Linked DNA regions of Mus musculus. The protein of the gene in region 4 purifies or fractionates together with the protein of the main gene of each other region. This does not show direct contact. Links are inferred from orthologs where the notes say so. Each region holds a gene or a part of one and is shown on either strand. Other genes may lie near its edges. The genes, in order: Dhx15, Ddx42, Phf5a, Sf3b4 and Rbm17.

Evidence for each region.
Region 1: the proteins of Sf3b4 (region 4) and Dhx15 purify together in Homo sapiens (co-immunoprecipitation; 4 studies listed by BioGRID and IntAct, with this or other methods). This does not show direct contact. The link is inferred for Mus musculus from reciprocal best matches to the Homo sapiens genes SF3B4 and DHX15.
Region 2: the proteins of Sf3b4 (region 4) and Ddx42 purify together in Homo sapiens (affinity purification with mass spectrometry; 3 studies listed by BioGRID and IntAct, with this or other methods). This does not show direct contact. The link is inferred for Mus musculus from reciprocal best matches to the Homo sapiens genes SF3B4 and DDX42.
Region 3: the proteins of Sf3b4 (region 4) and Phf5a purify together in Homo sapiens (affinity purification with mass spectrometry; 6 studies listed by BioGRID and IntAct, with this or other methods). This does not show direct contact. The link is inferred for Mus musculus from reciprocal best matches to the Homo sapiens genes SF3B4 and PHF5A.
Region 5: the proteins of Sf3b4 (region 4) and Rbm17 purify together in Homo sapiens (affinity purification with mass spectrometry; 4 studies listed by BioGRID and IntAct, with this or other methods). This does not show direct contact. The link is inferred for Mus musculus from reciprocal best matches to the Homo sapiens genes SF3B4 and RBM17.

The regions. Positions count from the first base shown.
Region 1 is NC_000071.6:52,183,077-52,188,987, forward strand, and holds part of Dhx15 (pre-mRNA-splicing factor ATP-dependent RNA helicase DHX15), read right to left. Parts: intron 1,828-5,911; coding exon 1,392-1,827; intron 1-1,391.
Region 2 is NC_000077.6:106,239,224-106,245,134, reverse strand, and holds part of Ddx42 (ATP-dependent RNA helicase DDX42), read right to left. Parts: intron 5,134-5,911; coding exon 5,036-5,133; intron 3,585-5,035; coding exon 3,308-3,584; intron 2,261-3,307; coding exon 2,034-2,260; intron 1-2,033. UniProt on the Homo sapiens protein: ATP-dependent RNA helicase that binds to partially double-stranded RNAs (dsRNAs) in order to unwind RNA secondary structures. Unwinding is promoted in the presence of single-strand binding proteins.
Region 3 is NC_000081.6:81,868,326-81,875,011, forward strand, and holds the start of Phf5a (PHD finger-like domain-containing protein 5A), read right to left. Parts: upstream 3,568-6,686; 5' UTR 3,540-3,567; coding exon 3,488-3,539; intron 2,865-3,487; coding exon 2,841-2,864; intron 2,174-2,840; coding exon 2,007-2,173; intron 1-2,006. Other genes in the region: Aco2 (aconitate hydratase, mitochondrial precursor), read left to right, coding at 4,188-4,223.
Region 4 is NC_000069.6:96,173,980-96,178,949, reverse strand, and holds the end of Sf3b4 (splicing factor 3B subunit 4), read right to left. Parts: coding exon 4,867-4,970; intron 4,628-4,866; coding exon 4,421-4,627; intron 2,590-4,420; exon of another isoform or gene 2,463-2,589; intron 2,316-2,462; coding exon 2,142-2,315; intron 1,972-2,141; coding exon 1,784-1,971; 3' UTR 1,386-1,783; downstream 1-1,385. UniProt on the Homo sapiens protein: Component of the 17S U2 SnRNP complex of the spliceosome, a large ribonucleoprotein complex that removes introns from transcribed pre-mRNAs.
Region 5 is NC_000068.7:11,599,129-11,605,719, reverse strand, and holds the start of Rbm17 (splicing factor 45), read left to right. Parts: upstream 1-2,520; 5' UTR 2,521-2,635; intron 2,636-4,963; 5' UTR 4,964-4,978; coding exon 4,979-5,101; intron 5,102-6,591. UniProt on the Homo sapiens protein: Splice factor that binds to the single-stranded 3'AG at the exon/intron border and promotes its utilization in the second catalytic step. Involved in the regulation of alternative splicing and the utilization of cryptic splice sites.

The DNA.
Region 1 (5,911 bases), on a different chromosome or scaffold from region 4:
AGCCTAGACAGACTACATAGCAAGATCCTTCCTTAAAAAAAAAGGGGGGGGGGCAGGGGGGTCTGAATGTACAGGTCAGTGATAAGTGATAAGCACTTGCTTAGCAGCATGTGCCAACTATAAATGTTTACCCTACATTCATAAAAACGTAAAGAGTAAGCCAATAAATGCCTTTTATCTTTGCATATTAAATAGACAATTATAAAGTTAATTTCAGTATCTTCCCGAATTTTAGAAATGTCTACCATGTCCAGCAACTTTTGTAGTCAAGACGAAACTTTTTTTAACTAATGGCTTTCCAAGTGCCTATTAAATCCACAAGTACTTCATTCAACCATCAGATTAACAGTTCAGGGATATAACCAAAAAGTTTATAGATGTTTCAAGAGTAATTTGCTATGCTCCATGAGGAAAGAAGATTTAGCTACATGGAGTACAACTGTAATAAATCTAGCCATTTCAAAATCTACAAACATACTTATCCCTGAAGTCATTAAACAAAGCCTGAGGTTGGTATGTCAGCTGAGGGAGTTAAAGGCACTGGCCATTAAGGCTAACAACTTGAGTTCAATTCTCAATACCCATAGGATGAACAATAACTCTAAGTTATTCTGATTGCCACACATGTGCTACGGCATGGGTGCATCCATACACAAACATACACACATAAATAGATGCAATAATATACAAAATATAAAACAGGCTGCATGTCTATCAACAAGATCGACTTGTTCATGTTTAAAAACTGGGCACCTGGTGAGACACATTTAACAGTGTTTAGTACTGTATGCTAGAGGCAGATGGATGCAGGTCACAACCACACTTTGTACCTTGTAGCGTTTCTAATCATTTTCTTCTTTTAAGAAAGGATCTCATTATATAGATAAAACCGACCTTGAATTCAGAGACTTGCCTACCTGATCCCTAAATGCTGGAATTAAAAGGTATGCATTATCATGACTGGCAAGTTCAAGTTTTTTTTTTTAAACACTATTCACATAATTCAAAATATTCTAACAAATACTTGGGAGTAGAAGCAACTGCTCCAATTGTTCAGATTTCTCTACTCAAGCTCTAGAAAACAAACTTTGTATTTCTAAGTCTGTATTGTCCCAGGGTAAAATGTGTTGGAAATTATTTCTGTCATACTTACAAGATGAGAATATACCAGTTTTTTTCCTATGTGGACTCAGAAAAAACTAAACACTCTCTACTTGAATCACACTCTTAAAGTCATTAAAAAGTACTCATCAAAGTACTATTCTTCAAGGTACTCTACAAGACAACTGGAAATGAGTTGACAGACAATGGAAAAGAACTACCAAGACCCAATCAGCATCTTAAGTTTAAACATGCACATAACACATTTACCATGGTATTTAACAACTCACCTGTGTTGTTTTACCAGACCCAGTCTCACCAACAAGTACAAATGACTGATGTCTAACAAGAATATCTGTAAATCTATCCTTGTATTCCCATACAGGGAGCTGAAGTCGTTTCTTTAGAATATCATAGTATCGAGGAGTATGGGGCAGGTTGGTGAATGGATTAATGCACTGTGGAAGTGATGTGTGTCCTGTGTGTCCAGTGTGTGTTGAGTGGGCAGAATGTGTAGAATGTGTTGAATGAGCCGAGTGGGTTGAGTGAGCTGAATGAGAAGCTTTTAAAGGTGGCAATCCAGCACTGATAAGCATAGCATTGGTGGAAGCTCTCAATTCTTTTTCCTTTTCTTTTTCCCTCTCCCGTTCTCTGTCTCCTCTATCACGTTCTCGGTCACGATCTTTAGATCGGTCCTCTCTATCCCGATCTCGTTCCCGGTCTTTCCTAGAAATAATGCAAAAATTTAGAAATCAGAGTGATTTCAAAAACATCAATTAGTTATTAAAAATTACGACCAGATTCTTTACATAACAGCATAAACACTCTTTACTACCAAGTCTCTAGTTCCATCCTTCTAAAACCTTAAGCATGATAGCCACTGAACCACAGGCCACCACAATAGCTCAGCTCCCAAGTCTGACAGTCTTAACTGAATACACAAGACACATCCTCAACACAAAATACAAGGTAATTAAAAAAACAAAACAACAATGAAAAGGACACCTGAAAATGGGTATAGTGGCATACACCTTTAAAAACCCTGCATTTGGACACAGAGGCAAGGGGGTCTCTGTGAATACCTAGACCAATTGAAATGAAATGTAGTCAAATTAAAAACATTCACAAAATACAGAATTGTTTTAAAAACTAAGTAATTCACTTTTCTGAAGTTATTTTAAGAAGTCATTTCTGATATCTACTACATATATTCTTAATGGAGAAATTTTAAAATACAACAATATGGCTTTGAGTTGCATCTGAAGGTGGTCTGAGTAGTTAGTGACGGAAGAAACCTGTTTGCTCACTCATTCTAACTTCAGACCAGCTCATATACCATAAGTTGCCATAAGGTTTGGGGACCCAGACTAAATTAATGAGGCAATATGGAGATTTGACAAAAACAAACCCCTAAACCTGTCATTGCTCTTAACATACAACACATAAAGTCCATTTTCTGTGACCTAAATATCAGTACACCAGAGCAAGAAAGAGCACTCTCTCTCTCCCCACAATGTAATGGGGGAGCAAGAGTCAAGACCTTAAACAGAACACAGCTAAGATGCTAACTAAGCACAGCACTGTGAGAATGGTTTAGCCACAGCAGTGGGAAACTGTTAACTTTATCCAATCTTAGTCCTAAAATATAAGATTCTATCCCATATAATCTTACAGTGAGGAAAAGCCTCACTAGCCTGTGGCTTCTCTACCTCCATTCTAATGATACCCACTACAGAATTATAAAGCCAGTGCTGGTGGCACACGCCTTTCATCCCAGCACTTGGGAGGCAGAGGCAGGTGAGTTTGTAGCCAGCCTGGACTACAGAGAGTTCCAGGACAGCCAGGGCAACACAGAGAAACCCTGACTAAAAAGAACAAAACCAACCTCCTCCCCTCCCTCCCAACCACCAAAAAAACAAAGAACAGCAAAAACCCCACACCCAAATCCCACAAAACACACATGCACACACACAACTAAATAAAGCCTCACAAGTCAGCCAAAGCCCAAAATAATTAAAAGTATGTAGGTAACAGGTGGAGTGGGGACACACACATGTACTGGCACGCACACACGTACAACACAGAGACACAGAACAAGGACTATGATTGGGATGTGTTATATGAGAAGAATCTATTTTCAATAAGACAAGTTTTAAACTCTTTTCATTTAATAAAAGAAAGAAAAATAGGGGAAAAGAAGAAATACAAAATAAAGTCTCAAAATGTCACAAGCTAAGTCTGTCTCTGAAATAGACCTCAACCATGGCCTTTGTTTCTAATTTTGTCTACGCACTCCTTAACTGGGTTCTAGATCACCTCAAAATAAGGATAAAGGAAGGATACAAATTCAAATAGCTCAAGGATGAGATATCCTGCAGACCTAGTGGTCCAGTGAAAGCTAGAGAACCTGAGTTCAAATCTAGTGCCTCAGGTGGGCCTGTAACCCCAGGATCCAGGTGAGAGGGGAGGGAGGGAGACAGATGAATTTTGAGTTTGATGGGAAAAATTAGCTTCAAATTCAGTGAGACTCCCATCTCAAACAAATGAGCACAAACACACAGAAAAGTTTAGAAAGGGTTCATGTCTGTAGTTATTACCCTAATAGGAAAGCCAATAAGAAATGTAATAAACACCATCCATACTACCAAGACAATTAAGACATAACCTTTCCAAAGCAACAAAAACTTCAGGAAAGATAAACACAAGGCATAGCAGTCCATGTAATGTTATGTGGTAAATTAACACTTATACTAACACACACCTTTTTCCAAGACACACTTCACCTACAGCTCCATTACTATAGCAGAGAAAGAAATACAATGCAAAACACAAGGATTTGCTAATCAGTGAGGTGAAAATTTAAATAAAAACCACAGCAAAGGCCTAAAACTCACTTTATCTACTCTGCAAAGTGGAAAAAACATCAACTATCAAGAAACATTTAGGGATATGCAGAAAACTGATGCAATGCCTAGGAACGCTGCTGCAGTTCACACTGGCTACTCTGAATGATGATGATACAAAAGGTCTGTTAGATGAGGATCCATGGCCTCTCCACATTGTATACATTATAGACATGACCATATACACATTTTCTTGTTTAAATGGAAACTTTAACTATAAAAGTTTTGTTCATAAAAATTTTCAAGTTGAAGCAATGCTTTTAACTTTAAAGAAACTAAAAACAATCTCAGTGTGATGGTTACATGCCTTTACTCCCAGCACTCAGGAGGCAGAGGCAGGCTGATCTCTTGCTTATGCTGGAGGCCAGCCTGGTTTACATAGTGAGTTTCTAATAGCCAGGGCTACGCAGTAGTAGAGAGATGCTGTCTCTTTTTAGGAAGTAAGGAAGGAAGGAAGGAAGGAAGGAAGGAAGGAAGGAAGGAAAAGTGCTTTAAACAGCACTTTAGTCAACACTGACAATTATTAAGAACAATGTTTTCTTGCTCACATGCAAGCTGTGGCTTTTAAGATGGAACTAAAAACATTTAATAAGATAATACATGTAATAATGCCTGGAATATCTGAAATGTACCAACAAACACTGGTTACTACTGATGTTTCAGTTTAAATTGTACTTGGAATAATAATAGGCACTAATATACTGCTAGTAAGTATGGAAACTAGTCATCTACTCTAGATATTTTATATAAACTACTTTTTTTCTGACAGTCTCACTTTGGGAACTTCTAAGCATGTGCATTAACGTGCATACATAAGGATACTCATACTTTCATCTACAGAAAATTCGAGGAAAGCACTTAACACCAATGAGCAAGACAAGAGACAACTACTGTACTACACAGCCAATGGGACCCAAATCCCAAGAGCTCACTGATATTACATTTTGTATTTAGGAATAAGTATGGACTCCAAAGATGGAAATAATGATTTGTAGTAGCTTACTGCTTTTTTCTTTATACATTTATGTGTGAAAATTTCTTGCCCTTTGCATCTTATCATCTTATTATTTAATTTCAGCTACCACGGGATTGTAGTGAAACACATAATTACAAATTCTTATCAGGAATATTAAGAACCATTAGGATAAAAATGTCCTTCCCAGATTTCTTGGGAGCTGGTGAGATGGCTCAGACTGAAAAACTGGGTTGACCCCTGAGGCCATCATGGTCAAGAGGAGGTAACTGACTCCGTGGTTTCTTCTCCTGGCCGCCCCTCCACCCCCACCCCCACCCACACGTGCTGGAATGGAGACAGCAAGGTCTGGTGACAGCTGGGGTGACAAAATGAACAAGCCTATGCTGTCAAATACACTAAACAAGAGCAAAGAGGGGGAGGGAGGGAAGCAAAGAGTCCCTGGCAGTCAAAAGTGCCTTCAAATCAAGTAAGGAAAAAAAAAAAAATACCAAGCACAAATACTGTATTGCTAAAGAAAACCAGTTCTATAAGAAAAGGTACTCAAAAAACTTAGGAAACTGCAAAAACTGCCTTGCAGAATCTCTAGAAATCAAGGACTCTCCTGTACTTAGTGACAAATATGAAATATTCAGAGGAAACATGAAGCTACCCGCGATATACGCAAAGTCCATTTTGCCAATGTTGTATGTTTTGCAAGAGAAATGACCATAATCACTGTAATGTGGAGCCCCAATTGCAATAAAAGCATTGAGTCGTGAACATACACACAAAAAAACTCTGCTTGCACAAACTCAGTGTTCATCCCAATGTGACCTCTATAAGGAGAGAAATTAGTTGCATCTTAGCCAAATGTGACATTAACTTTAACTTCACAGAAGTTCCCCACTTTATCAATCCAATATAAATGCCATTTATGACAGGTTGTGATGCC
Region 2 (5,911 bases), on a different chromosome or scaffold from region 4:
TTCCTAAGGACTGGGATTAGAAGTATTTACCACCATTGTACAGTTTACATGGCAACAGGGATTGAATTGAGGGTTTCAAGCACACCAGGGAAGCACTGTAACAACAAGCCACATTCCTAACTCCAATATGCCCTCTTTTTGATAGCTTGACATAACAAATTTATCAGTGTGCTTCGGTGCTTACCTAAGGTGTCCCTTGTTACTCCTTTGTGGAAGTACAGTGATTAATAAACATAAACTGTAAAATAACTATTTTACATTGGTCACGTCTAACTTTAGAGTTTGTAAAAATGATTTATTTTTATTAGTGAGTGTGTATCTGTCTGTGTAAGTTTAAGTTCACCAAGTGCATGGTACACACCTTACACACCTTGTGTTTGCAGAGGACACTGAAATCTCCTGGGATGGGAGTTACAGTGTAAGCCACCTAACGTGGGTGCTGGGAACTGAAGCAGGGTCCTCCGCAGGAGCAGTAAGTGTTTTCAACCACGGAGCCATCTCCTCAGGCCCGGGCTTTACCTTACATCCCAGGACTTCTCAACCTTCTTAGTGCTTGAGCTTTCATACAGTCATTATGTTGGGGCCACCCCAACCACATTATTTCGTTCTTACTTTATAACTGTAGTTTTGCTATTGTATTGAATCATAATATAAACATCTGTCTTTTTTGATGGTCCTAGGTAACTCCTGTGAAAGGTCATTTGACCCCCAAAAGGATTGCGGCCCATAGGTTGGGAACTATGACTCAATCCTCCTACTGGACACAAACTTACACAGTTAGGAGCAAAGCTTTATAAAGAACAGGCATATTGAGAAATGAAGGGGAAAGCTAGATAAAATAAGGCTTATTAAGAACTGATTTTAGACAGGCATGGTGGCACACACCTTTAACTCTAGCACTGGGAAAGCAAAGACAGGTGGATGTCTGTCAGTTCAAAGCCAGCCTGATCTACATAGTGAGTTCTAAGACAACCAGGGCCACATAGTGAAGCCCTGCCTCAGAAGAGCAAACAAGCAGAATGCACACATCTCGGAGTTAAAGCTTCATCCAAGACTTACAGACTAAAGTATGGCAGGCTTGGAAAGGTACCGAGCACAGAAAGCCCAAAACACAAAAAAGGTGCACAAAAACACTGTGCAAACTATACCCTTCAAATTTTAGTTTTGCTCTATATCAAGGAAAGGGTAAAAAAGATCACTCTCCTTTCTTCTGCACTGCAGTTCTTCACCACTAGCGTGACAAACAAGAGTATTCCCAACAGCCCAGCTGTACAACATACGGCTAAAACAGCCAAATAGACTGGCTTGAGTCAAACAAATACTTCCTACTATCAGAACTTGTCTTGAGGAATGTGTGCCTAGTACCCACAGACCCTGAGTTTAATCACTAGCTTGCAATAAAAAACAAACTGTCCTGAATCAACTTGTTATTTGAGAACTGCACAGAATAAGTGATTCAAGGTATAATTTGGCACAGTATCTTACTTAGTTTTGGAATAGAGCATATCTGGAAGTGGGCAATCAGTATGGTCAGATGTGAAATGTTAAAATGTAAGAAATACTTAAAGCCCATGTCAGAGAGGCAGGGGGTGCAGTTCAATAGTAGAGCACTTGCCTAGCATGTACAAAAAACCCTGGATTTAATGCCTAGTAGCAAAAACAAAAACAAATAATCACACAATTGTTTCCTTAGTAAACAAATACTTTTTAGCCCTCAAAAAGAGAAGACTTGGGGAAGAGGAATGGGCAAGAACAGTGGGCATCTTCTGATATTAAACTTACTCATAAAAGTGTGCTATGGGGCAAGTAGAAACTAAAGAAACAGACTTTAGCCCAAAGAAAGGAGCAGTTTTTCAACAGAAAGCATAGAAAGAACATACACATGAATTGTGACATCCCATGGTGCCAGTCTACATAGTAACCAGCCCTTTCTGCCCATTTTCTTTCAGGCTCCTATGTTACTCCCTCCCTTGCCTGTTGAATTCCTTACTCAGTTGAATTGTTTTTATTAACTTTGATTGCCTAACCCTTACCTGCATTGCAAGATCTAAGAGCTCCTTAGAAACATGTTGGTTGGCTCCTTCCAGGTTCCGTACAAGGTCACCAGCAAAATTGCTGTCCTTTGGAGTCAATAAGGTATAGGCTACACCCTTCTCACCAGCTCTTCCTGTCCGGCCAATCCTGTGAGTGTGCGTATCAATGTCCCGTGCTACATCATAGTTAATGACTGTCTTAATGGAAGGAATATCCAGACCACGGGCTGAAATACAAAGTATTGAGTTTCTTTTACTTTTTATCTACAGTTAAGAAGAAGAAGAAGAAAAAAAATCGAAGTAACTAGAAATGCTAGATTTCTAATAATGTGCATTCCCCATACCTAGGCAAGCTCATGGATATGAAGCCAAGAATAGAAAGTAGTTCACTCTTTTGCGAGTAACATAAATATAAAAAAATACTGTGGATAATTTTACTGGAATCACACCTGCAATTCCAATACTTGAAAGAGGTAGGCAGAAGGACTGGAGTTCAAGGTCACTTGGGCTATACGTATATAAGAACTCATCTCAAAAATAAAAACAGAAGCCAGGTGTGGTGGTACACACCTTCAGTCCTAGTACCCAGGAGGCAGAGGCAGGTGGATCTCTGAGTTTGAGGACAGCCTGGTCTACATAAGGACAGCCAGGGCTACACAGAGAAACCTTATCTTGAAAAGACAACAAAACAAAACCCCCCAAACAAACAACCCCCTCCCCAACCCCATACAAGTTAACCGTTTAAGGACTGTAATTCAGTTAGTAGTATCATGTTTGCATAAGGACCTGAGTTCAGTACCCAGAACCTCTGTGTGTGTGTGTGTGTGTGTGTGTGTGTGTGGATGTGGGTGTGGGTGTATGCATACATATATATCACAACTTGTGTATAGAGGATAGAAAACAACTTGGGGGGGGGGGGTCGGGTTTTTTTCCCTCCACTTTGAGTCCTGAGTACCAAGCTCAGGCTGTCAGGGCTGGTTGGCAAGTACCCAGTGAACCATCTTGGAGGTCCAAAACACTAGCTTTTAAGGGTAGCCGATAAACTTAACAGAGTAAAGCCAAAGCTTATATTACTAATTTAAGATACACACTGCAGTGGACATGAGGGCATAACTGTTCCCCTCAAGACATCCTCTGGCTGCAAGGGTACTCTGATGACCAAGAATAGTAAATGAAGGTGGCCACAGAGCCACTGCGCTCTACAGGTCTCATTACAGAGCAAGGCAACACCCATAAAATAAAGGCTGGGGTTATGATGAAATTCATACTCTTACCTGCAACATCAGTGGCCACCAGGACGGGGATGTCCTTTTTCTTAAAATCTGAAATAACCTTGTTTCTTTCGCTCTGATCCATGTCCCCATGGAGCAGACCAAGATTATGACCCTCCTGCTTCAGGTTACTGGCTAGCTCTTCAGCATTGGCTTTCTTAGTAACAAACAAGAGCACACTCCCCGAGGAAGTAAACTCCACCAGACGCCGAGTCAGCCAGTTCCATTTACTGGGTCCGGAATGGAGAATCTCCACAATCTGTGTCACATCTTCATTCGCCTGAGAGGAAATAAATAACCAGTTGTGACTCACGTCACAGGAAACTTCGGAGACTAGGTATTTTATTTTCTACCTGCATGGGAATAGCTCTGCACAATCCCTGTTATCGTTGGGGTTTCCTTTAGTATGTCAAATATAGCTTAAAACTTATTATTCCTTTAAAGCACCTTGCACACCAATTCCCCCGGTATGTTCATTTCTAATTTGTATGCCAAAATAATCTACAATGATTGTTATAAACCTATTTTTATTATTCCCTCGGGAGTACTTTTCGGGGTCTTGCCCACTCCCTGTCAAGCAGAATTTATATGTAAGTACATTAAAAATAAGAACCCGACATACAAAGGTGCTTACCACTCAGAAACTTTAAAAACAACTATGAGAAATTATACATATGGTTGGCTAATAAATACATATTTTAATAAAGATCTGTTTCCAACTCAAAGAAAGGATTTACTATTTGAGGTGTTAGATATGCTAATTACACATTACATACATGTATTGAAATGCCACACAATATCCCATAAATATTTATAATTATGTGTCAAAAACCCTATTGTCCTAGTTGAGTTTTTGTCAAATTGATACAAGCTAGAGTTATCTCAGAGGAGGAACCTCAACTGACAGAATGCCTGTAGGCAATTTGTGGGGTATTTTCTGGTTGCTAATTGAGATGGGAGAGGCCAGCCCTCTGGGGTGGTACCACCTCTGGGTGGGTGGTTCTGAGTTGTATAAGAAAGTAGGCTGAGCAAGCCATGGGAAGCATGACATAAGCAAGTGTTCCTTCATGGCCTTTGCTGGATCCAGTTTCCTGCCTTGACTTCTTTTCACTCAGTTGTATGCTGGAATTCAAGAAGTGGGCCACCACCCAGTTCTTTTAAAACTTTAAAACATTAAAAACTTGTGGAAAAAGCCAGGCGTGGCGGCACATGCCTTTAGTCCCAGCATTCACAAGGCAGAAACAGGGATATCCCTGAGTTCAAGGCCAACCTGGTCTACTGGTCTACAAGTGAGTTCCAAGACAGCCAAAGCTACATAGTGAAACTTGTTAATTCCCATATACCCATCACTCATCTTCCATCAATCATCTGTGCCACTCGTGTTTTCACTATTCCCTTAACTTGTCTATCTTAAAACAAATCCAGGAGCTGTGGAGATGGCTCAGCAGTTAAGAACACTGGCTGCTCTTCCAAAAGACAAGGGTTCAATTCCCAGTATTCACATAGCAGTCCACAACTATCGGTACCTCTAGTTCCAGGGGATCCAATACTGTCACACACATACAAGCAAGCAGAACACCAACATACATAAAATAAAAATAAACAAATCATTAAAAAAAAAAGAAAAAAAATTAAATCTAAAACAGAACAATCATTACTTAAGAATTAAATTCCACAGCCTCATGAGAAATAAATCCCAGGACCCACCCTGCCTTAAGCAGGATTACCTACCTCTCCAATGTCTCCCTGCACCACTCGAATAGGGTCAATCAAGATGTCTCTGGCCAACTTTTCAATCTTCTTTCGAAAAGTTGCACTGAATAAGAGAGCTAAAAGATAAAGCAAATTCTGTTAAAAATCACTTCTTACTGAATTCACTCTTTAAGCTTCTGTAATGTAACTGATTCACTAAATAAAAGTGATTTTTTTTTTTTTTTTTTTTTTTGAGACAGGGTTTCTCTGTGTAGCCCTGGCTGTCCTGGAACTCACTTTGTAGACCAGGCTGGCCTCGAACTCAGAAATCCGCCTGCCTCTGCTCCTGAGTGCTGGGATTAAAGGCGTGCGCCACCATGCCTGGCCGTGATTTTTTTTTTAAACTTCATTTTCAATCAAGAAATGAGTTGCCATAATGGTTCAGGAAAAGACTTTAATTTTGAATCAGCAGATTTACACTGCAGGAAATTATTTAAATTCAATTTTAGCACCAATAAAAAGTGAGCAGTGTGCTGGGCCTGGTGGCATGAACCCATAATCCCAGCTATTTGGAGGAGGAAGCATGAAGGAGTACTTCAAGTTTATGGCTGCCTAGGCTATAGTGAGTTCAAGGACAGCCTAGTCAGCTCAGCAAGACTCTACCTAAAAAACAAAGTGAAAAAGAGGACTGGAAATTCATATGCAGCTAAGAGAGGTAGAGTGTTTGTCTAACATCCATGACACCATAGGTTCGATACAACAGACAACAACAAAACACACCTCACATCTGATGTCGTCTAAGGTCTTTTTTAGCTCAAATAAATGTCATTAACTCTCCTCTTTGCAGTACTCATCAGGACATACAAAGCAATTTTTGCTTACATAACTGTGAGTACTTATAAAAATCCCGGTTCA
Region 3 (6,686 bases), on a different chromosome or scaffold from region 4:
ACCCCGACTTGAGGATGTGTTGCTGTCTGTCTCCTGCTCCCCGTTTCCTCCCTTACTTCCCTTTATTACATCGTCATTCACAACCCAGAGTGCAGCTACCGCAGATCATCCGCCTCCGCACCATACAGAGCTCCGGGACTGGCGGTGAGTAGCATCTGCATGCAGAGTGTGCTAATTCTCTAACACGAGCACACACCAAGGCCTCAAGAAAGGACCACATGGTGTAATGTGGACACATGGTTTAGTCAGACAGCCTGGGACAGGTTAGAAAAACGATAACCTCTACTTACACTGTGTGAGGGATGAGGAAGCGATTACACCTACAAACCTACACACACATGGGAATATTTAGAGCTATGTTCTGCCCTTTTTTTTGAGACAGGGTTTCTCTGTAGCCCTTGCTGTCCTGGAATTTGCTCTGTACATTAGTCTGACTTTGAAGTCATAGGATTTGCCTGCCTCTGCCTCTCAGGTACCGGAATTAAAGGTGTGCGCCACCATGCTCAGCTGTCTCCTCCTTGCTTAGGTTCTCCAGCATCTTCAATTAGTCCAGCCAGACTATATTCTACTTAGTTTTACTCAAGCAATAGACGTTTCCTTTCTGCACCAGTCAAGAAACAAAAACATAAGACCAGCAACCAATTTGCAACATGATACCATTCTTCTTACTTAAAGCTGGTATCAACTATAACTATCCCTAACTCATGTGACCACCAGATCTACCTAAACTGTCTTTAATCACAGTGGATTTAAGAGAACCAAGTTGGGCAAGTAATCCTATTATCTAAGAGGCTGGCTGAGGCAGGAGGACTGCTTTGAGTTTCAGGCTACCCTGGACTACATAATGAGCACTAGACCAGCCAGGGCCAACATAGCAAGGCTACCTCAGTAGCTGCCACATCCTACATCCCTGCCCAGAGAACCACTATGTGGGTACAAATCTGTAACCTCTGCACTCAGGAAGCTGAAGCAGGAGGACCTTTGGTTCCAGGCCATTTTGAGACACACTGGCACCTATGTCTGTGAGAAAAAGAGGAAGACAGATACAGGCAGAGCCACTGAGTGTCTTCTACACAGCACCGACGTACTCATTAGCACACAAACAGAGGATCTTACATGTGGCTAAGAATAAAAATGAACGCCTTTAATCCCAGCACTCGGGAGGCAGAGGCAGGCGGATTTCTGAGTTCGAGGCCAGCCTGGTCTACACAGAGAAACTCTGTCTCAAAAAAACCAAAACCAAAACAACAACAAAACAAAACAAAACAAAACAAACAAAAAAAGGAATAAAAATGAGCTGCCCTGGCTAACTTTATGTCAGCCTGACACAAACTAGGGTCATTTTAAAAGATGAAAGCTCAATTGAGAAAGGCCCACTAGTTCGACCAGTGGTGCACTTTCTTGATTAATGGCAGACATGGGAGAGCCCAGCCCAGTGTGGGTAGCACTACTCATGGGCTGGTGGAACTGGAGGCAGTAAGAAAGCAGGCTGAGCAAACTGGAGGGGAAAGAGCAGTGATCGATCCTCCGTGGCTCCCGCATCGACAAACTGTTACCTGGAGGTGTGGAAGAAAACCTTTTCTTTCTTTAAAGCTGCTTTTAATCTTGTTGTATCATTGAGAAGAAACCTAACTAAGACAGCAGGTAAACACACTTGACAAGCCTAACATTTGCACTCAACCGCCAGGACCAGAGTCTACAGGGAGAACTGCCTTCAGCAGGTTGTCCACACACCCATTCGCAGGAGACAGCAAGGTACATGGAGAAGTTCTCCTAACTGCTGATACCAATGAAGACTTGCTTCTCTTCCATTCTGCCCTGATACAGAGTAACTGCTCTTTATTAGACCACACCCAGTTTGGCTCACAGGCTTGAAGAAATTACCTAGATAACTAGCTGAACACTGCAATCTCCACAGCCCAGATCAGAAGAGGTGGCCATGGATGGCAAAATGGTTCAAAGTAAAAGGAAGAGAAGAGCGGGTAGGAAGCTCAGCCTACACTCACATCCTTCTCCTGAATGGTGCACTCTTTACAGTAGTAGGCATCGGAGACTCCGGGGCCGCCACAGATTACACACCGGCCCTGGTAAGATCCATAGTTACACTCATCACATATGCGGACCAGGGTGCAGGGACGCACGTAGGAATCACAGATCACACACTTGCCGTCACCTGTAGAGAGAGGAGAACTGAGTTATAGCCAATAGCGATTACTCCCCTAAGATCTCTCCTCTGCCCTATGCGGGAAATCACTAGTCTCCTTCTGACAGTGACCTTAGGACCTTCTTCTACCTTGACAGCATAAGCCTTATCCTGTACCCGTCTCAGTTTAGTAGTTCATGGAAAGAGTTTGTATTAGTGTCTGGGAGCTTTTAAGTCTATGTAGTTACTGTCAACAAATTGACAAATGTCATTGGGCTGGGAAGGTCCCCACTACTCTTGACAAATCTTACTGTCCAAAAGTAGACATTTTTTTTCAAAACCTAAATATGAAGTATTAAAAATTGCATGCTTAAGTGGGAGGATGGTGGGGCAGTCTTTGGTGGCAGCCAGGTATTTAGTATCCTCTGCAGGCTGGTTTATCTATTTAAGACTTCTTTACTAGCCAGGCAGTGTTGGCATACGTCTTTAGTCCCAGCACTTGGGAAGAAGAGACAGGCGGATTTCTGAGTTCCAGCCTGGTCTACAGAGTGAGTTCCTGGACAGCCAGGGCTATACAGAGAAACCCTGTCTTAAAACACCCCCCCCCCCAAAAAAAGACTTCTTTGCTGTTCCACTGGAATTGACGACTCTTCAAAGAGTAAAGGTGTCAAGGCCTGAGAGGGCGTGTTCGGCTTACATTTTTCACACAGTCTTCCGATAGCTGCAAGGTCAAAGATAGTAAAACATCGTTAAAATTAAGGTTGTGAGGTAGCAAGCAAAGTTTTTCGTCAAACTGAGTATAGAGGATGGCGAAGGTAGCAATGATTACAGTCAACCGTACAGGATCGTGGTCACATTCTCCTTTCCTCCCTCTCCACTGTCCCCCACCCCCTACTTTTTTGTGATAGAATCCCACTGTGTAGCTTGAGTTAGCTTTTAAGCTCTAGCCAGGCTCGAACTCGCAGCAATCTTCCAGCCTTCTGCCTCCCAGGTGCTGGGATTACAGACAAGAGTTCCCGGCCCACGACCCTAAATTTTGCTTTACACCAAAGGCCATGTCAAAAATAAAAAAAATGTCTGGAACCCCCCAAAATTCAAAGTATTCTAGACCGGCTTCTCCAGACCTGGCACAGAGGATCCCGCCAGCCTTAGACTCCCGGATGCGCGCTGCTGCCCTCTTCTAAGATGCCACAAGCCGGTGAGCGCTGCTAGAATACCCAGGCACCGTAAGGCGCGAAACGTGGACACGGCAAACCAGAGCCCTAAAGAGGAGGCTGAAGTCCCTAGTCCCCCACTTTCTAATCCCATCCCACTCAACCAAAAGGGAGCACGTCCCCAACTCACCCACACCAGCCTGCTTGCGGCAGAAAATCAAATCTGGATGATGTTTAGCCATAACTCTTTTTCCAAGCCGGCGGCCGGAAGCTTAGGGAACTTCCGCCCGACCTTTAACCTACGGCGTGCTTACTTCCGTTCCTCCGTGATTGGCCATTAAGCTGTCCGTCAGCCTTTAGCCTCGGGGGGTGGGGGGGGGCACCAAAACCGGCTAGATCTCGCGAGAGTTTCCTCGCTAGGTCCTTGCAGGTGCACCAAAGGTTTTTGAATAAAATTCTCTTTACTTCCAGATTTGAACTCATAAACTGAAGTTTGTTCTTGGGTAAAAATTCTACATATGTTGCATTCTGTGTTGGGGATTGACGCCAGGGCTTCTTGCATGCTTCCGCCAAGTATGTTGATTTGGGGATATTCTCTTTCCTGGATGACCTTGAACTCCTGCCTCCCCTCCAGCTTCCACACCCAAGGGCAAAGGTGACAAGGTTGCGCCGAACGCCGAGTTGGCAGTTTCCCCGCATCTTTGCTTTCCACGCCGGGTTTCCGTCATGTAAGCCCCGCCCACTGTGCTATCTGCACTCTTGGCTGCGGGAGGAGGCCCCACCCTCGCGGTTGACTCGTCTCTCTGTAAGCCCCGCCCCCTTCGATGCTTTTTTAAGGGCGCCATTTGTCACGTCACTTTCATGCGACCTCATCTTTGTCAGTGCACAAAATGGCGCCTTACAGCCTCCTGGTCACCCGGCTGCAGGTAAGCGAGCCCAGAGACGTGGGTTTACGGGGGCGGGGAGCCTCCTGCCTTGCCCGCGGCTGTAGGCGAGGCCAGGCGAGGCGGGCTCGATTCGCGGCTGACGTTCCGTGCACCTGTCGCGGTTGCAGGCCCAGCGCCCTTGTGGGTTCCTGCGTTGTCCTAGGTCAAGGCGTCCCTGGCACAGGCTGTTCGCAGTTCCCATCCCCGCCCGCCGGCAAGCTTGGGTTTAAGCAGCGGCAGCCTGGTCCAGGGTGGAGGCACTCCTTTTTTTCTGAGGGTGGAATCCATGCTCCCCCAGGGTGGTTTTCTGTTCCTCAAGGTGATGACAAGGTGATTGGGGGGCGCGGTGGTTGTGGGTTCCTCTAAAGCCGGGTGCTTGAAGCCTTCACTTCCCACCAGTAGCAGAGACTCGTCGCCTCATTTATCCGTGGTTGCCGGGCATGGAGTTTGCAGAAGCTATATCCACTACTACCCTTTGAGGAGACTCGGGGTCATAGACACAAGAAGGACTATTCTGGGCCCCACCATAATAAATAGTCACGATAAGAGTGCTTTCTCACCTTTGCAGCAGATGTCAAGGCTGTTTACTAATGTTACAGATGTTTTATCTGACGACATAGATGTGAGATAATTTTTCCCCCAACTTGGTAGGTGGAAAAACTGGAAGATATAGACAAAGTAGTGGCTTTCATGGTGTCACTAAAGGATCATAGCCTGAGCAGTGACCCTGCAGACCCTCTCTTCTTGTTGTTCATGGCAGCTAATATCACAGAACTTTCTGAATCAGGGTGTGATCGTTTGTATTTGTCAGAATACAGAATCAAATATTTTGAAGTCACCGATAGTTGCTTTCCAGATACTAGGTGGAAAGATGAGAAGAGTGAACAGTTTGACCTTGACTGTTATGAGACGTCTAGAAAATTGACTATGCCTGTCAGATGGTTTCCCACTACTAACCTTACAGCCCTAGAAACGTATAATGTTTACTGTAAAGAATGTATTTTGTTCATAAAAAGAAATCCATAAAATAACTGTAGACATTTTCTGGCAACCTTTCATGATTACTTTTGTGAATTTGTTTTGGATCAACTTGGAACATAGAATTAATAATTTTTAAAAATTATGTGCCTTACTCCCAGGAGGCATTATCATTTGAAGTTTTCTTTATCAAATTACTTAAAATCAAACTGCAAAATCAAACTCATTTATCTGAACAAATCATTTAACTTTTGGCCAATGAAAGGGATTTGCAGCTAAATTATCTCTGGTTCTTTTGATTCTTTAGACAGTACGATGAGTTCTGTCCTGACCCCACTGTCCTATGATTTAGTGGAGTCAGGCAAAGACTATTTAATAGGATACATGACCTTTGAGTTTGTAAGAAAAGAATTATGTCACATTTGGACCTTAGAAAGTGAGTGTTAGAATGGTGTAGAAAGAGATCTGGGCTATAGTTCGTGTCCTTCCATGATCCATGACCTTGTACCCATAACTTTCTAAGTTCTTTTTCTATCAGTTGTGGATTGTTTTCATTAAACAAGGCTTATTGAGCATTTAATTATGAGGAATTAGAATGTGTTTACAATGATGTAGTTTAACTTCTTTTAAATGTGGAGAATCTAAGACCTTGAGAGCTTGGATGACTGCTGTAGTCAGGATTAAAATCAGAGTCTCCTCATGTGTTCATTCAGCTAAGGTGAGTGAGTAGTACTCTGATCCTTTCAATGTACCGGTGCATCCAAATCCACCCTGTCTCAGGCAATGTCTGCTGACTCTGTACTCTGAGAACATCTTTCATTTACCTCTTCTGTGCTGCGTGCATCTCAGAAGCTGTATTTACTACTTAATAGCTCTGTCTGATCAATCTCTAGCATGCACTAATTACTTCATAAACATTTGTGGCTTTTTCTTTTCTTTTTCTTGTTTTGTTTTTGTTTTTGAGACTGGTCTTACTGTGTAGCTTATGCCAGCCTTGTCTTTTTGATTCTCCTGCCTCAGCTGCCTGAGTGCTTTGAGATCAGGCATGTGCAACCATAGCCAGTAGAAAAACTGGTAAGAAGACAACCCCTGTTTTGTTTTCATTTTCAGTGTATGTAAAGTTTTATTATTTTATGTGTATGGGTGTTTTACCTGCATGTACATATGTGTACCGTGTCCATGCATGCAGTGTTCACAGAAGCCAGAAGAGGGAATCAGACCCCTTGAAACTGGAGTTACAGATGGTAGTGAGCCCCCATGTGAGTGCTGGGAGTCCTCTGGAAGAATAGCCAGTGGACCTGGGTCCTCAGGAAGAGTAGCAGTGATCTTAACCACTGAGTCACGGCTCTAGCATCCAGTCCCTGTGCTTATGGAGTGTATACATATTCTAATGAGCCCTTAGAGATCTTCCTGGGCTTGATTATTTATTCACCTTCTTTTGGCTGGACCAAATGTGATGGAGGTTACAGAACAGCTGATATCAGT
Region 4 (4,970 bases):
CTTACCTCAAGGTTGTTTTGAAGGGTTTTGTTTGTTTGTTGTTGTTGTTTTGAGACAGGGTTTCTCTGTAGAACCCTGGCTGTCCTGGAACTCACTCTGTAGACCAGGCTGGCCTCAAACTCAGAAATCCACCTGCCTCTGCCTCCCGAGTGCTGGGATTAAAGGCATGCGCCACCACTGCCCAGCTGTTTTGAAGGGTTTTTATGGTCACCAATGAAAAAGAGCTGAAAAGCACTAAAACCTCCAGCCCAACCTGGCTCTGACCTCAGCCTTCACACAGCCTTAGTGCTAGATCCACCTTTCAAGAGAACTCCAGCTAGGAGCATGGCAACCTCCCAATTCCAACATTCTATTGACAGGCAGGAGGACAAGGCCTGTTGAGAACCAGGTAAGGCTTCTGGGTTAGGATTAGGCTAGATCATCTTCTTAACTCTGGCTTGTCCTAGGAACTATGTAGGCCAGACTGGTCTTGAACTCAAGAGACCCACCTGCCCGCCTCTGCCGGGGTCAAAGGCATGCACCACCATGGCTGACTAGTAAGACCATCTTCCGACCAAAAACCTAGACATCACTATTTTCCGAAGAAGTCTTCCTGAACATTCGGACCAAGTTAGATGTTCTGACAGTTTAACACTTGCTGTGTTCATCCTGGTCACCAGCAAAGCCTTTGCAGGAACCATAAACGTTAGAGTGGAAGAATGGAGAATGTGAACGCAATTAGGACTAAGATCTAAGCGTCATTCACTGAACATCTGCTTTCCTCACTCACCCTGTCTAGCAATTACTTAAGACATTCCCATGGCTCCAGATGAAAGCCATGGTAATAACACTCAGGAGCTGAAGCTTCCTCTGAGCATGGTGTCTTCAACCCCAGCAGAGGCAGATCTGAGTTCATGGCCAGCCTGGTCTACCTAGTGAATTCCAGTAGAGCCAGGGTTACAAAAACCAGCTCAAAATAAAATAAAATAAAATGGCACAAGGCTTCCCTCCATATTTTAATGGTACTTTCCATTGGTTGGTCATCTATTTTTTAAATATAAGCAAACATACACACACATATATGCACTACCCCCTGGATAAAGGTAGCCAATCATATATATATATATGGGTGGATACACACACAGACCCTATTTCATTTACTATGACCCGCACAATCTTTCACAAGAATATATCATCTTTCTCCTCTGGTGTCAAGGAAGGAAAGCAGAGCAAGTACCCAGGATGCACTGCTGCTGAGCTGTTCTCCCAGCTCCTTGGTTGTTGCAAAGCTGTAAAGCTCTATGTGGACTTACCAGTGTATCATACCAGCCCCTCTCAATCAAAGACACTTCCCAGCCAAATTCCAGATAGTGCTACAATGGATACCCCTGTGCCCATCACTCTTTGCTAGCACATCACCAGACATTTTATTTCTGTTGCTAATGCCTCCATACTATAACAAGATAAGCTCTATTCCAAGTACATGCAAGATAAATCCTTACAATGTAAACACCTTCCCTTTTTCATACTGTTCCTCCCACAAACCCAGACTCCTCCTAAAAGTTACTTCACCAGAGAACAAACAAGAAGCATAGTTTTATTTTTCTATACATGTGTAAAGAAATTAGGACCAACATTTTAAAATAAAAATGAAGAAAATCCCCAGTGGAAAACATGACATTGGAATGGGGACAGAGTTACTGAGAAGGGTCAGTACATTAGCCTTGACAAGCTACAGCATCTCTGATTGGTCCAAGAAATGAAGATAAAGGGAGGATAAAAGGAGGAGACAAAGGATGGCAATTTACTGAGGAAGTGGGCCCCGAAGAGGACCACGAGGTGGAACTGGGGGCCGTGGAGTGGGTCTGGGTGGCGGGAGGGGCCCCCGCTGGTAGCCATAGGGAGGGGGTCTTGGAGGACCCGTGTATCCATGAGGGGGCATCAATGGAGGAGGCCCACGCATGCCGTGTGGAGGCATGGGACCTGGGTGACCTGCAGGAAGAAAAAGAGTTAACAAAAATGAAAACAGGAAGCAGCTAATGTGGAGATGAGTAGGGATGAGAGCAGGAATGTGGGAAGTCAAAGAAAGGGCACCAGACAGGGCGAGGGGCAAAGAAAGCTGCACAAAGGCAAAGATAAGAAATGGGCTAGCACCCACTCACCCATGGGAGATCCAAAAGGAGGCCCTCGGGGGGGCATGCCCATTGGAGGAGGTCCAGGATGAGGCATTCCAGGAGGTGGCCGAGGTGGTGGCTGCCCCCCAGAGCCCGGAGGCCCAGCATGGGGGTGTCCTAGGCCATGGGGGCCATGGTGGGCCAGCTGCATCTGGGACATCCCTATGGATAAACCACACAAGGAGACAGTGACAAAAAAGGAAACCAAAGCAAAGAAAACAGAAGAGTGCACAATGATGACTTAAACACAGTGACACCATTCTTAACCCTTCCTACAGTAAAGCCCAGCCAGTGCCACGTGCTCAGGCAATCTGTCTGAAGGTGACTGACAGCACTGGCTAAAGTAGCCATGCTGCTAATATTCCCCCAGGTTTATTTAGCACATCAGAAATATCTTTTCTCTTGATGTGAAGAAAAAAGACAATGAAATGTGCATTCACTTTCCTTCTGACTTAAACAGAGAGATGGTGACAGCCAAGGATAAAACAAGCAGAATTTTTGCTCTGTGTAGGACAGGACTTGGGTGGAAATTATATGCCCGTGCAATGACTTAATTCTAAAAGGCCAGTAAGAACGCCTTAGGAAGAGCAGGCCTGGTAGCACATATCTGACCTGGTAGCACATATCTGAATTGCCCAGAACGCTAAAGGTAGAGGCAGAAAGATTAGTAGTAGCTAACTACATACCTAGCAAGTTGAGACCAGCCTGGGGCACAGGAGACTTTGGTTCAAAAAAAACAAAACAAAACAAAACAAAACAAAATTTACAAAACCCGCTAAATTATAAAAAAAAGAAAAGAAAATTTTAGCCTGCCATGGAGTGCCCACTTTTAATCCCAGCACTAGGGAGGCAGAAGCATGTGGATCTGTGTGAGTTAGCTAGCCTAGTCTACAGAGTTCCAGGCTAGCCAGGGCTACACTGTATTCAAAAACAAGTCCTTAAGAAGACAAGAGAGGGCTGGTGAGATGGCTCAGTGGGTAAGAGAACCCGACTGCTCTTCAGAAGGTCCGAAGTTCAAATCCCAGCAACCACATGGTGGCTCACAACCACCCGTAATGAGATCTGATGCCCTCTTCTGGTGTGTCTGAAGTCAGCTACAGTGTACTTATATATAATAAACAAACAAACAAACAAATAAATCTTAAAAAAAAAAAAAAAAAAAAAAGAAGACAAGAGAGTGGATGTCAACTGCTCCAAGCAGAAAGTTTGGCATGTGTGAACACCAAACAGTAAACATGACAATGCCTGTAAGTTAGGCCAACCAAGAGGACCCTGAGCGCCAGCAGTGAGACCAGGTTTTCTTCTGTAAGTAAAGGCAACAGAAGAATTTTAAGGAAATGTCTGAGCTGGGCGTGGTAGCGCACGCGTTAATCCCAGCACTCGGGAGGCAGAGGCAGGTGGATTTCTGAGTTCAAGGTCAAAAGAGAATTCCAGGACAGCCAGGGCTACACAGAGAAACCCTGTCTCAAAAAACAAAAAAACAAAAAAAAAACAAAAGAAGAAGAAAATGTCTGTGAATACCCTGGAAAAGTTACTCAGTGAAAGTAGATGAGTCCCTGAGTCAGTGACAGGAAGTGAGTGCAGTCTGAGCACTGGCTTGTGACCAATGACAAAAACATAAGCTAGACTTGCTCTGCAAAGTGGAGGACAGAACAGACAAAGCCCCAGAGTTGTAAACTGGGCTCCTACAAGTGAGAACTACTGAAGATGGTGTCAGAAAGAGGAAAGTTAAGTGTGGGTTGAGCAGTGGCCTTTTCTAGCCTGCCAAGAACCTAAGACCAGAGACCAATGGTAAATTAGCACCTTCACATTTAACACTACAGAGAAACAAAGAAAAGAGAAACAAGCAAAAAATCTACACAAACATAAAAAAAGGAGCCGATCCAGGTTGCTATGGTTGACATTAGAGAAATCTAGAAACACGCACGCCTTTAGTCCCAGCACTTGGGAGGCAGAGGCAAGAGGATCTCTGAGTTTGACACTGCCAGCTACACAGAGAACCCGTTTCTCAAAAAGCCAAAAGCAGAAATGTCTTCTAGATTTGGCAACCTTGGAAGCAGAGGAGAGGTTGAGAGTTTTGCCCAGTACAAGCTATCCTTTAGGAAATACAAGAACTGGAGATAAAACAGGAGCACCAACACGTACAAAGTACTGTCTGTTTCTGAAGAAAAGGAGGACTCTGGACTATTTTCATCCAAGACTACCAGGACAGACAGTAAGAAAGCCCCTCTCACAAGCTCAGCTCCTTCCCAGCACAGAGCCCTTACCTGGATGGGGCATCCCACCTGGTGGGAACGGGTGAGGATGTGAGTGTCCGTGACCGGGATGTCCAGCCCCTGGAGTCCCTGCTGCTGGGGGGCCATGTCCTCCAGCCCCAGGTGGCATAGGTGGTGGGGGCATGGCTGGGGGAATCCCAGGAGGGAGGGCCCCAGGAGGTGGCACTGGAGGTGGAAAAGAGCCAGGAGGCGGCATGCCTGTGTAAGAAATGGAAGACAGTTAATGTCTTGCAGAGCTCCAGCCTCCCCCCTGCAGGCTTCCCTTCAGCTTCACTCCATCTGCCAACTTCATCCGCCAACTTCATCCCTTCCACCAGCACGCCTCACTCCTGTCTCACTGCCCAACAACTTAGCAGCTTACTCTACCAGGGCTGCTTCTGCCTCCTGAGCCTCCCTCCCAAGAGCCTCACTGGCACAGTCTGAACTCCAAGCTGTACCTGGTGGAGGAAGCCCAGAACCCAGGGATGAAACCACGGGATTGGGGGCAGAGGGCGGAGGGGGTGCATCGGCAAACAGCTGGTGAGGGCGGTCAGCCTGGGAC
Region 5 (6,591 bases), on a different chromosome or scaffold from region 4:
ATAGGTAACTATGAAACTAGAAATAGAACAAAACAAAGTTTTTTTTAAAAAAAGCCAGGCATGCCGGGCGTGGTGGCGCACGCCTTTAATCCCAGCACTTGGGAGGCAGAGGCAGGCGGATTTCTGAGTTCGAGGCCAGCCTGGTCTACAAAGTAAGTTCCAGGACAGCCAGGGCTACACAGAGAAACCCTGTCTCAGAAAAACGAAAAAAAAAAAAAAAAAAAAAAAGCCAGGCACATTCCTTTATCCCAGCACTCAAGAGGCAGAGGCAGTCAGATCTCTGAGTTTAAGGCCACCCTGGTCTACAGAATGAGTTCCAAGATGGCCAGGACTACACAGAGAAACCCTGTCTCAAAAAACCAAACCAAACCAAGCCCAAACCAACCAAACAACACCCCACAGAAAAACAATAAAAAAACAAAACAAACAAACCAAAAAGCCAAAAGAAGGCCTATAATAGTAAACCTACAAAATTGATTTTTTTTTTAAAGCTTCAATTTTCTTTTTTTTTTTAATATATTTTTTGAGTGCAGGTGTTTGGTCTGCATATAAGTCTATGTACCACCTGTGACTGTCACTCACAGAGGCCATGAGATCCCCTGGGACTATAGTTACAGATGTTTGTGAGCTGTCATGTGGGTGCTAAGTAGGTTATAAAGAGCCCCAGGTCCTTTGGAAGAGCAGCTGGTGCTCTTAACTGTTCTCTTCTGCCCCACAAAAACAAAATCTCAACTATTACATGTGTGTGTGTGTGTGTGTGTGTGTGTGTGTGTGTGTGTTAATTCCTTTTCCCTATTTATTATTTCCTATAGTGTTTACTATGAATAACAAGATTGTATTTTTTTGATGTACAGATTTTATTTTTTTTTCAACAGGAATTGTATTATAAAATGTCATGTCAAACTTTTAATCAACCCACACATGGTGTTGCTATCTGATTTCTTTATGTTTATCTGCCACAAGCTGGTACTTTATTCCAGGCTTGCATTTTCAAGCTTTCAGAATTTTTAAAATTTTTTAAATTTTTATTATTTATTTATTTATTTGGCTTTTCGAGACAGGGTTTCTCTGTATAGCTCTGGCTGTCCTGGAACTCACTCTGTAGACCAGGCTGGCCTCGAACTCAGAAATCCCCCTGCCTCTGCCTCCCGAGTGCTGGGATTAAAGGCGTGTGCCACCACGCCTGGCACTTTCAGAATTATTTGAACACTTTCTTGTAAATCAGATTATAATGTTGGTGTGTTCACTTGTGTAAGGTCCACCTCCACAGTTTTATGATGGCTATTCCTGGTTTTCAACTCGACTACATCTGGAATGAACTACAATCCAGAAATGGAGGGCACACAGGATCTTGAGGCTGGAAGACACAGGCTGCTGACCCAGATCTTGACATGGAGATCATGAGACAGCCCAGGCAAGGTAGTGCACAACTTTAATCCCAGGACACTGAGGCAAGCAGTTCTCTGAGTTCAAGGCCAGCCTGGGACAAAGCAAGTTCCGGATCCAGGTGTGGAACTTGAGGACATAAAGACATTGGGAGAAAGAAGATTGACTCACTCCTCGTCACCTTCTTGCACTTACTTGACAGCATCTCTGTTGGAACCGATTTCTTCAGATTGTAGCTTAGACAGAAGACCAGATGAAACAACCTACTTCGTGGGACAGAGCAACTACTAGATTCTTGGGTTTCCCATTCACAGCTGCCCATTGTCAGGTTAGTTGGACTGCAGAGTGTAAATCATTGCAATAAATTCATTTAATATATATAGACAGTCTATAGGTCCTCTGACTATAGAGAACCCTGACTGATACATTTTTCAGCTTGAATTCACCACCACCACCACCCTTTGCGGGGGGGGGGGGGGGTTGTTGTTATTGTTGCTGTTTTTCAAAATAGGGTTTCTGTGTAGTCCTGGCTGTCCTGGAACTCACTATATAGACCAGGCAGGCTTTGAACTCAGAAATCTCTGTCTCTGCCTCTCAAGGGCTGAGATTAAAGGCATGGGTCACAACTGTCCAGCTATAGCTTGAAATAATTTTTACATGCAACCAAAAATATGGGGAAAACATATTTACACAAAGCCCTGGTTTCTCTGACCTTTCTTTTGCCATTTGCTGCATTTTTATTCCAAGCGAGCAAGGTTTATAGTGTTTACATTCTTTCTCTGAAGACCTAGCTCAGTGTGTGTTTTTAATGCTATTAGATTCTGCAACATCTCGCCTGCAAATTTATTTCCACCATTTAGTATATAAGGGAATAGTTGGGAGTGAATACCTGGAGCCTAGTAGGGGATTCGGCTCCTACTCCAAGGTCAGAAGGCACATGAATCTCGAAACCTTGTGCCAATGGCGCCATCTCTTGGCCGGCAGAGAGGAGATGCAATGTAGTCCTCCCGTCAGCAGGGTGCAGTGCGAGCCGGAGAGTGCAGCTTTGCTTCCGCGAGTCACACGCAGGCGCAGACGTGGACTCCCGGCAGCCTCCGCTCTCTTACCCCGCGCGGTGCATCCCTTTGCGGACTCCGTGGAGGCTCGGCGCTGCGGCGGACTCCGGCGGTGGGCGGGCTTCCGCGCAGGGCGGCCGGGCTCCGCGCTGCCGCCGCCGTGGCCCATGGGCACAATCGTCTCGGAAGGCCGGGTGAGTGGCGCCGCGGCGGCCCTGGCAGGCGGTCTGATCCGGAACGTAGACTCGGGTGTGCGCGCCTTCACGGATGCGCTGGACGCGAGGCCGCGGCTCTAGGCCGCGCCGTGAGGGGCGCGGGGATGCGGGCGGGGCACCCCGAGCTGCCCGGGGGGTTCCCAGCCCTCCACGTTGGGCTCCTTCAGCCTGCCACGTTCCACCGGGCCACCTAGATCCCCCCTTCACCAGTCCCGATCCTCTTGACAGTGAAGAAAGTACCTTTCTCCTCTTCATGGCCCATGCCCAGACCAAGTTGTTGGGTCGCAAGACCGCAGTAACCCAGACTGCGTCGGGCCTCAGGAATGGAGAAGCCAAAACACAAACCCCAAAACTTGTTTCCTTCCAGAGCACCTGAAGTGAAGGTTGAGGCCGTTGTCTCACCGGGACAGAGAGTGTCTGTTGTAACCCCCGGCATGCTCAGGCCTGCGCTAAGGGGAGTTTTAGCGTTCATGTCCCTCCGCTAGCTTTCGAGCTTCTTCTGCTTGGACCAGTTGTGCTCTGAATGAGTGCTGCAAGCTCAGTAAGGTGCTTCTCCAGGGGTTAGATCTCTAAGAAGCTCGTTGGAAAACCCAGGCCTGGATTGATCCGAAGAACCAGATTACAAGCTGGAAAGACCTGGAAGAGGAGTTTTATTACAAGTGGAAAGGCTGCACCTATGAGGAAGAGGGAAAGCAAGAGCAGAGAAGCGCTGTAGAGTATTCTGCAGTTTAAGGCTGTGACAGAGGATGAAGAGGGACTTAGAAGGGTGATCAGTCAGACCTTCCTTTGAGAAGTCAGGAAGGGGGGACCATTGACATAAGTTCTTGTTATAATTCTGCTTGTTCTGGGAATAGGTGAGGCCTGTCTCTCTGCAACAGGTGGCTCTTTTAAATCATGGGGACACATTTATACTGGGCTGAGCTGTAAACATTTCGAGATAACAAATTTTAGTAAATATGAGTAATGGAGCCCAGGGTGGCAATATGTCTGGAATTCCAGTGCTTGGAAGGTGCAGGCAGGAGATTAAGAGTTCCGAGGACAAGCCACACGTGGAAATCACATGTGTGATTTCCTACAGGCGTCATTTTTCTCCTACCATATGGGTTCTTGTTGACCCCCTGATTTGTTATTATGTACCTCCTCCCCCCCACCACCTGTCCCCCGCATAAATTTTTCACACATCTTTCCAACAGGGAAGAGTTCCCTCTAGTAGGTCATTCTACAAGTCTTTCAGAACAGTAGAGAAATCTGCTGCGCTGTTTGCTTTAGTTACTCTGGTTAGTTTGTTTTTAACAGTCCCTGGCCAATGGTATCTTGGTAATACGGATGGGAAATGTGAACTATCAGAGATGGCATAGCTACACACGGAAGGGTATAAATGATTCGGTAAAACATCATTAAGTCCTGAGTATAAGATATGATTGTGGTGTGGATCAAGCTAACAGAGGTAGACTTTTAGACTTGTGATGGTTACTCTTGGTTAGCTACATCTGGAATCTACTAAAACCCAATGGCTGGCCACACCTGTGAGGGATTTTTATTTATTTATGGACAGGGTTTCACCTGTGAGGGATTTTATTTATTTATGGACAGGGTTTCTTTTTGTAACAGCCCTGGCCCTCCTGGGACTCATCGATGGTTCTGAGCCACCATTACAGGTGGTTGTTGGAAACTGAACTCAGGACCTCTGGAAGAGCAACCAGTACTCCTACCCACTGAGCCATCTCTTTGGCACCTGGAACTTTATAGTTAATAATGCCCCACATAGAGAGCTTCCGTCTTACTCCATTATCAGTTCTATAACTGAAGGATTTGACTCATAAGTCAGTTCACCATAGTCTTTTAGATTGAGAATTAATTCTAGGCTGGACATAGTGGCATATCCCAGCACTCAAGAGGTGTAGGAAAGAGTCACAAGTTCAAAGCCAACCTCGTCTTTGTGATAAGTTCAAGGCCAGCCTGAGCTACATGAGAGCCCTGAGGACTTTTGTTTGTTTGTTTTTTCTTTTTTAGTTTTTTGAGAGGGTTTCTCTGTATAGTTCTGACTGTCCTGGAACTCACTTTGTAGACCAGGCTGGCCTCAGAAATCCGCCTGCCTCTGCCTCCCAAGTGCTGGGTTTAAAGGCGCGTGCCACCACGCCAGGCTGAGGACTGTTTTTAAACTAGTGCCTAAGTATAGTTTTGCAGATTAGAAAGAACCCTGCATTTGTGACAGGAGGGTCCATGGTGCAGCTGTTTTAACACAGAGACATTCATAACTTGCTTCTGCTTTGCATCTTTTAATCTCTGTCCCTGCTTGTCTTTCAGCATTAAACCAAAAAGATGTCCCTATATGATGACCTGGGAGTGGAGACCAGTGACTCAAAAACTGAAGGCTGGTCCAAAAACTTCAAGCTCCTGCAGTCCCAGCTCCAGGTGAAGAAGGCGGCGCTCACTCAGGCCAAGGTAAGAACAGGCCCAGGGCAGGAGAGGGCAAGTCCGCTGAGTTCCTTTAAGCTTGCTCTTTGCCCCCTTGCTGGATACGTAGAAAAGAGTGGGTGGGCGAGGGGTGGAGAGCTGATTGCCTCTCCTGGCTCTTGGAAACAGCAGGACCATTCATGGAGTGGGAATTAAAAAAAGCCATGAGACTGGCTTTAGACTGGAGCATGCCTGAGACTGACTGCAAACTGTTTACAGATGCTGTTTTCATACCCCTAGTCCTAATAGTCTGGGACTTCTGGCCTAGGCTGGGTCCCAGCTAGTTTATTGTAAGAAGTTTGGAATTGAGCTTTGCAGAATAATCAGAGCCACCCCAACATGCATACAAACATATATACATACATGTTAAGTAAATTTTATTTGGTTGGGTTAATAATCGTGTACACTATGAAAGGCTCTGATGTTTGTGAACATACCCAGGATATATAGTTATAGGTGGGAATTGCTGTGTTGTATACCTGTTAGACTTGGCATTGTCTTGGAGACAGTGCAGCTTTTTCTTTTTCTTTGTTTCTGTTTGTTTTCAACATAAGATTTCAGTATGTGGCTTTGAACTGTCTGTGTCGACCAAGGTGGCCCCAGTTTCACAGAGGTCTGCCTGTCTCTGCCTACCAAGTGCTGGGAATATCACCCCACCCAACTATGCGTATATTTTAATGTCAGCTATTAGCAAATATCTTGAGATTGCAAATAGATTTTGTGGGGGTGGGGTTGTTGAGACAGGGTTTCTCTGTTTAGCCCTGGCTGTCCTGGAACTCACTTTGTAGACCAGGGTGGCCTCGAACTCAGAAATCTGCCTGCCTCTGCCTCTGAAGTGCTGGGATAAAAGGCGTGTGCCACCACGCCTGGCCAGCAAGTAGATTTTAATTTGTCAAAATGGACCATTACTTTAGAATTCATCTGCTAACCTTCTGACCTGAATCTTGAGGCTTCTCTATGTGGTTGATTCTTATGAGGAAGTGAAGTTGCACTGTATTGGTTCTCTTGGGCTCTTCAGTGCCTTTCTCAGAGTACTAGCCACGCTTGTAAAAATACTTGGTAGAGAAAATGTACCTGTATCTGAAAGGTGAAGGTATGGTTTCATTTGTATTTCATTTTTGAAACTACAAATTAAATTTTAAAATGAGCAAATAAGTGATTGTCATAACCCTACTGTGGGAAGTTAGGGTTTATATTGTGATTTTTTTTTTTTTTTATGATTCCTGGATGATATGTTGTTTGCTTAAAGCACCGTTAAAGTCCAGAGAGCTCAGACTTCCTGATAAGAGTGAAAGTTTGTACCCTTTAAATACTGAGAATTTAAACTTTCATGACAACCTCTAGTCCACACGGATGGCCATGGCATCTTAGCAACCTGAGAATTTGGTGTTGCTCACCAGCTTGCTGAGATATTCTTTTTTTTTTTTTTTTTTTAAGTTTTTTGTTGTTTTGTTTTTCTAGACAGTTTCTCTGTGTAG